Linked DNA regions of Ovis aries. The protein of the gene in region 1 interacts with the protein of each later gene in a biochemical or structural test. Links are inferred from orthologs where the notes say so. Each region holds a gene or a part of one and is shown on either strand. Other genes may lie near its edges.

The links.
Region 2: the proteins of TRDN (region 1) and CASQ2 form a complex in vitro, tested with the Homo sapiens proteins (3 studies listed by BioGRID). The link is inferred for Ovis aries from reciprocal best matches to the Homo sapiens genes TRDN and CASQ2.

The regions. Positions count from the first base shown.
Region 1 is NC_056061.1:15,321,730-15,325,241, forward strand, and holds part of TRDN (triadin), read left to right. Parts: intron 1-1,022; coding exon 1,023-1,049; intron 1,050-1,808; coding exon 1,809-1,847; intron 1,848-2,220; coding exon 2,221-2,256; intron 2,257-2,339; coding exon 2,340-2,375; intron 2,376-2,458; coding exon 2,459-2,494; intron 2,495-2,577; coding exon 2,578-2,613; intron 2,614-3,366; coding exon 3,367-3,411; intron 3,412-3,512. UniProt on the Homo sapiens protein: Contributes to the regulation of lumenal Ca2+ release via the sarcoplasmic reticulum calcium release channels RYR1 and RYR2, a key step in triggering skeletal and heart muscle contraction.
Region 2 is NC_056054.1:93,106,243-93,110,420, reverse strand, and holds the start of CASQ2 (calsequestrin-2), read left to right. Parts: upstream 1-1,370; 5' UTR 1,371-1,512; coding exon 1,513-1,824; intron 1,825-4,178. UniProt on the Homo sapiens protein: Calsequestrin is a high-capacity, moderate affinity, calcium-binding protein and thus acts as an internal calcium store in muscle. Calcium ions are bound by clusters of acidic residues at the protein surface, especially at the interface between subunits.

The sequences.
Region 1 (3,512 bases):
AAATAGTTACATTTCAATCAAGAGTGTAACTAAAAGTTGTGTCTAAAGATTTTCAATGCCAAGGACTAACCTGGTTCCTTAAAAGTGTTATGATAGATTTCTCGTGAATACATTTATGATTTTCTTCTGAATGGATTCAATGCCAGTGTTAAACATTAAATGTTGCCTTTGGGTTGGCAAAAATATCTAGTATATTTAGTCTGTGTAAGTGCTACTAATATGAACGTTATTATAAAAATTAAGGGCTGAAAGTCAAAACTAGATTACTGATAAGAAATATCACCATAATTATTTGCAAATGCGGTTTTGTTTATAAAACATTATTCATTATATATATTTGTTCTTATAAAATATTTGAATTTTCCTTAAACTTCAAAAAGTTATGTTAGGCTGATCATTTAATATATCAGTTTTATAGAAAATACTATCATTTGAACGAATTTGTATGGATATATTTTTTAAAGCATATTTTAAAAAAATAATTGGTCTTTGAATTTCCTGAAGGAGCATTATCATAGGTTAAAGACAAATAAATAACATTTTTATATTTTGTCTCACTACTCTGACTGTAGTCATTATGAGTTGAGATTATTTTTGTGATATTTTAAAATCTCATCTCTCAACCCTACTCATTGCACTGGTTGCTTTATAAAAAGTTAATGAATAAATGTGTGCAGGCGCATGTTCAAATCATGGTGAAAGTTTATGTAATGGAGATTTATAATTTGTAATTGAGAAAACTACCCAAATGTCTTCAAACTGATTCATTCTACCGTGTATGGATAGACTAGTTAATATTAATGTATATAGGGGTTCTATTTCCAGAATAGATACCAGTTGTGTTTTCAGAAATATTAGTTACCAACGTATCTCTTTGCCATTTTGAGTATGTGTCTATTGTCACTACTTTTGGAATTAATACGAAATAATATAAAGATGAAGTTCAGTTGTCTGCTACTGGAAAAAGAAAATTATTATTTCCTTTTATTTTTCTTCCTTTTTTCTATTTTTTTTTTCTAAAGAGGAAACACTAGAAGTAACAGAATCAGGTAAATATTTGCTTACCCAGAGGAGGCAACATAGATCTATAGGAATACTATTTAAATTTGAATCTCTATATAGCTGTGTAACATTTGGGAAAATCCATTAACAGCTCAGATTCCCAGTTTACTCATCTATAGAATAGACATAATGACTTTCCAAAAGGCTTGTAATAAGTATGAAATGAAATAACATATATAACACTCCCACTACATGCTTGGTTGTTACTCATTAAATATTGGTGTCCTTCTTACTCTTGTCTGATAAATATAGTTAAAGAAAAGCATCAGTCAGTCAAAACTCTGGTTTAAAAAGGATGTGTCTACATTTTTCTCAGAGATATATTGTGACTCTTACATTGTTTTTACTCAACAGTTAATTTATTGAGTATTCATAGCACTAATCAAATTTTCATTTCCGAAAGGTAACAACAGAAAATGTGAATTTTTTTTCTGTTGCTAATTTAAACTTATTAATAAATGCATGGCTTACTCTAGCTTTACTCTAAAGCATGTACAAAAAAAAAAAAAAAACCACAGGAAACAAAAGGAGGGGGTTGTGCTTTATAAAACCAAATAACCAAGGATAACAGAAATGTACATGTTCTTACACAAAGTAGGGAGACTTTATCTTCACATCTTTAAAAGTAGGACTTTGACCCTCTTTCACTTACGGGATTAAGTTTCATCTACAAATATTTACTCCAAAACTGAGTAAGAAAATTATGTTTTTAAGCCAATGGTTTATTGTTATTTTTCCCCCCCTAGCAAAAAAGAAAATTGAAAAACCTGAAAAGGAAAGTAAAGGTAAATACATTTTAAGGCATGTATATCAAATTAGTGATAAAAGCACAAGAATCAAAAATATATAATTATATAAATTACATCACTTAAAAAAGCAATTCATGAAAATATGGACATTGGTTTTAAAGCGTATATCAGAATCGAAGCTATTTAGAGTGTTATTCATGTGAGGAGTGTAGTATTGCATTATTACTAGATATCTAAAGGGAACAGGAACTGAGATCTTAAAGCAAACTCCATTATTGCTATATTAACACCATAGAGTTCTTTTCATATAACTCCTGAATTGTAAATATTGACTGCAAAATATGTAATTTCAAACTTAGAAAGACCTATGAATAAATATGTATATGACTCTACCATTTTATCTCTATAGAAAAAGCAGAAATGAGACATCTTAAAGAAGAAAAAGGTAATTTTTAAAAGTTCAAAAGTTCCTGAAGTCAGAATATTTTGAATAAATATGTATATGACTCTACCATTTTATCTCTATAGAAAAAGCAGAAATGAGACATCTTAAAGAAGAAAAAGGTAATTTTTAAAAGCTTAAAAGTTCCTGAAGTCAAAATATTTTGAATAAATATGTATATGACTCTGTCATTTTATCTCTATAGAAAAAGCAGAAATGAGACATCTTAAAGAAGAAAAAGGTAATTTTTAAAAGCTTAAAAGTTCCTGAAGTCAAAATATTTTGAATAAATATGTATATGACTCTGTCATTTTATTTCTATAGAAAAAACAGAAATGAGACATCTTAAAGAAGAAAAAGGTAATTTTTAAAAGTTTAAAAGTTCCTGGAGTCAAAATATTTTGAGTCAAAATTTATTTATTTCAATTTTAAAGAAAACTTTTCTTTACGTACACTATGATTGCTGGCCTGGTTAAAAGAAGAAAAGTGGTAAATAATGAGAGCATGTGATTATGACGGTGTCAAAGGAGCAATGGACGGCAGGCCACACCTACAGTGTGCAGTCATGTGTTGGGTCTTTGGTGAGAAACTGGTTAGAAGCTGCATTGCGATGTTGCTTTTTTATCTTAACTTTAGCTTTATTTATTTAGGAAACTACATAATATAATACAATAACCACTGATTTCCATGTTTAGTCATCTAAAAACCTTACAAAGGCCTTAATCATCAGAGAAATATTCTGTCGAGTCAGGAGGAAAGCATTCTTAGACATCCCGAAAAGATTGTTAATAACAAAAGAAGACACTTTTCTGGTTTATACCTAAATTCAATTAATCAACATTACCCATTGGCCGTGGACTCAGATTCATTTAAATACCCTGTAATCACTGAGTTCATGTCATATCTCTTTATGCAGATACAACAATCTCTTCAGCTAACATTTATTTTTCTTAGGCATTAGCAGAAGAGAAAACTTTTAAAACACCTTGAGAAAATATTTACAACATTTAAATTATTCTCATGTTGCTAAAGCTTAGAGTTGAAGTGAGCCAAATTGTTTTATGAAGATTTGCTCTAAAAGTTCATATTTTAATTTACATTTTTTTTATACAGTGCCAACAAGAAAAGAAAGTCTTCAATTACACAATGTGACAAAAGGTAATCTTGACCTTTGTAAATCCTCAAATGCTGTGTTGATGTGTGTGGAGATGCCTGAATGATGTTGGTGCTTAATATTAACACTAGATTTTCTAAAGCAA
Region 2 (4,178 bases), on another chromosome or scaffold:
TGGAGTCTTTTAAGAAAAGAGGTGTCTGTGGGGGAATTACCCCATCAGAGTGAAAGCACCCAGGAGTACTGGGCTCCAGGGTAGCACTGAACTCTCTGCCTACCCTCTACCAACAGGTAGTCGGTAACATGATCTCTGACTAGGTGCTGAGCTCCCTGAAGCTCAGTTAGCTCCTCTGTGCAATGACCTTTTAATCACATCTGCCCCAAATGCCTGATGGATTCAAGAAGAAGGCAGACAGAAAAGGGTTCACAAACAATTACTTTTAGAAACTGACAAGTAATTCTGATAATAACCTATGTTCCACCATCTCCAAGAAGAATGGAATAATATAACAGCTGCTGTGTTTGAGTAACTGCTTCGCACCATGTTTTTCCATCTCTGTGTTCCAAGCCTTACAATCTAGTTATAATTATCCCCACTTTACAAGGAGCAGGGGTGGAGGTGATGGATGGCGAATCAGAGAGAGGGTAAGTGACCCTCCAAAGTCCATTCAGCCATTGAAAAGCAGAGCCTGGATTTGAACTCCGACCTATCTGGCTTCTGGACTCTCTACAGCAGTCTGTCCCAATGGAGAGGAAAGGGGCAAAAATGATACATTGGGGGTTAATGTTAGAAAAGAAGATGACAGGGATGATAGTGAAAAGCCTAAGAAGGTTTCTGAGGAAGATAGTTGAACTTTTACTATATTTAATTTTATAATGGGGCAGGACCTCCTGGTGTCAGCAACGTTAAGCCATGAGCAGGGGCAGAAGGAGAACAACTGTGACCCTGGCGGGCTGGGGTCTCTGGAGCTCTTTCCACGGAGAAAGGGTGACCCTAGACCCCTTGCTCAGTGACAGGCAGAGCCATGGGGGACACGGCGCAGCGGCCAGCCAGGGGAAGGCAGGCGCAGAACGTCAAGTCCCCCTGGGGGTTGGGCTGGTCTCCAGGTCAGTGGTGAGTAGGTGTGTGTGTGGGGTGCGGATGAGCAGCCTGCCAGGAAGGGACAGGCTGACACCATTCCCTGGGATAATGGACGGATTCAATAGCATCTGAGGGACCCCTGCACGTGCGCACGTCACCATCCCATGTCTCCCTCCCCTCCTTTTGCCCTCCTCCCTCCAGGTGAATTTCTCTCCTCTGACCTTCCTGGCCTCCTTATTTCATGTGCGCATGTTCCGCCGTCTCCCTCCTGCCTCCTCCCTCTCCACCAGCCTGACAAACTGTATCAGCGAATCCCTCAACAGGGCCATATCTAACTTTTTTATTCATCTCATGATTTATTTTTAGCCTGAAACAACTGCATCCTAAAAATGGAGTTCCAGATGAGACACGGGCTGGGTAGAGCTATGCAAGCTATCTGGGGCTGGGTGGCCCAGCCTGGCTCCAGTTCCACGCACGCATGGGTGTGAGCCTCTGCTCGCTTTGTCTGAGCCCAGGGCTACAGTCAGCAGCCTGCAGAGGTGAAGACGGGGTTCTCGGGCCCAGGGAGGGCCAGGGAGAGAGACCAGATCAGCCTCTCTGCTCCCCATGACTCCCAGCAAGTCCTCTAAGACTCCATTCACTTTCCTACCATCAGCGTTTCTGGGAAAGAAAAATTTTGCCCAGATGAAGAGAGCCCACCTGTTTGTGGTGGGGGTCTACCTGCTGTCCTCCTGCAGGGCAGAGGAGGGACTGAACTTCCCCACCTATGATGGCAAGGACCGCGTGGTCAGTCTAACTGAGAAGAACTTCAAGCAGGTTTTGAAGAAATACGACTTGCTCTGCCTCTACTACCATGAGCCCCTGTCTTCAGACAAAGTCGTGCAGAAACAGTTCCAGCTGAAAGAAATCGTGCTGGAGGTGAGTGGGGGTGGGGGGGGGCCCGGGACCACGGCGACCAAGGAGGCGGGAACTGGCCCGTGATCGGGATGTGGGGACCCCAGGGTGCTGATAATATATCCTAAAGTCTGGCCCCATTTCAGTCTCATACAACACTGGAAATCTTGCAAAGCTGGGATGTGTGAAAAACAGAGGTGTGTTCAGACTCTTCAGACAGGACAAGTGCAGGACATGCTGCACACTGCACTGCTTGTCGTTGTTGTTTAGTTGCTAAGTCGTATCCGACTCCTTTGCGACCCCATGGACTGTAGCCTGCCAGCCTCCTCTGTCCATGGGATTCCCCAGGCAAGATTACTGGAGTGGGTTGCCATTCCCTTCTCCAGGGGATCCTCCTGATCCAGGGATCGAACCCACGTCTTCCGTATTGGCAGGAGGATTATTTACACTGAGCCACCAGCGAAGTCTGCCCACTGCATCATAGTCGGTAAAGTTGTAAAGTCTATCAGCTGACGGCCCTCTTGATTTCTCAAGGGCAATGGTTCCAGCCACTCTTTTCCTCAGAGAACATTAAAGCTATTGTTTAAAGGCCCGAATGACATGGGATTCAGGGTTATGTGCAGGCTTCATTCGGTGTACTAATTTCCTACTGTTTGTTCTTGTAAGCCTGCCCACGATCTTGGGGCAGCAGAAGTCATTTGACCTTGCTTCTGCTTGTGGGTCAGATGGGGAGCACCGCTAAGTAGTGCTCCTCTCTTGGGACTCGGTATCAGTCAACATCAGCCACTGGAGTTGTGGGAAGGTCTTGGCTGCGTGTTCAGTAGCGGGAGTATTTCTTTTTCTCAGAAAGTTCTTGGTGTGAGGTCAGGGAAGATGCTGAAGTCAGCTCCTATTCTGTCTGCATTACTGGCCTCTCTGTGAAGCTGGCGCGGGGGCTGGCTCTTTAATCCTGTGTGAGTGACCCAGGAACTCCTCCCGTAGCTCCTCCTGGACAGTGTCAGATCAGTTACACTCAGGAGCACCTGGGAGTGCCAAGAATTCTAGTAAGCACTGAGATCCCTCATCAGTCCCCAGGCTTGGCTCAGCCCACGCACCTATTTGCAAAAAGGACTACTGGAGACCAGCCTTACCAGAAAGCTCAGTTCAATCAGATACCTTTTTGTTCTTTCTTTTTCTTTCAGTTTTATTGAGACATAACGGACATACATTATAATCAAATATTTTGATGAACAGAATTATCATAGAAAACCCATGTGGATTTTAGTTCTAAAAAAAAAAAAAAAATTTTGAGTATAAGAAAATCTAGGCTTCCCAGGCAGCACAGTGGTAAAGAATCTGCCTGCCAATGCAGGAGACTCGGGTTTGATCCCTGGGTCAGGAAGATCCCCTGGAGAAGGAAATAGCAACCTACTCCAGTATTCTTGCCTGGGAAATCCCGTGGACAGAGGAACCTGGTGGGCTACAGTCCATGGGGTCACAAAGAGTAGGACATGACTGAGCACATAATAAAATCCAGGAAAACCATCCCAAACACATCAAAATATCTTTGATAATTTTAAAAGCATTGCAGAGTCCTGTGTCTCTCGATCATCATACCTGTATTTATTTTCAGAGGATTTATATATGGGAGCATGGTCATTACAGAGAGCTCTGGTAGATGAAAAACTAAGCATTTTAAAAATATCACCATGCCCATTATCTTTTTCCTCAGGCTCTACTCTGGGGCCTGAACATGGAAGTTCAGTTCCCTCTGTGAGTTATAAGCAAGGAAAAAGCAGAGACCGTTATTAGGTCTTTGTACTATATATACAGGAAAATCGCAGGCTGGAAAAAAACCAGGACATACAGCACAGCTGCTGCTCAGCCCAAGAAATCCGCACTCACATTACCATCTCCATCTCCAACTGCCCTACTCAATTATAGTGACAATTTTCTGAAAAGTGAGCTGAAGGCACAAGGACTCTACCATATATGCTCACCAGTGTCAACTTAGCCTAGAACTCAAAAAGAGGGCTGGTGCAAGCCATGACCCCAATTTCTGATTCCCTGTCACACACACACACATTCTCCCTCAAAGACAAATTCTGTGTTCCCAAGCAAAATCCTGAGAAGGGACTTTGCCCTGGACTCACCATCCTTCCAGCCACCTTTGATCCAGGAATGCCCATCAGAGACTGACAAGGTGTAAGCTCAGCATAGGAGGTGGTTTGATGCCCCACAGGCTCCTAAATCCTTAGGGAAAGAGATCACAGAACTTGGAGTCTGGAGATCTGGATTTATATCCTGGCTTCCCCTCTACTGGATACACGACATAGGGCAGGTTACTTACCTTCTCTGCACCCCATTTTCTCATCTATAAATCTGGAAAAATAATAATT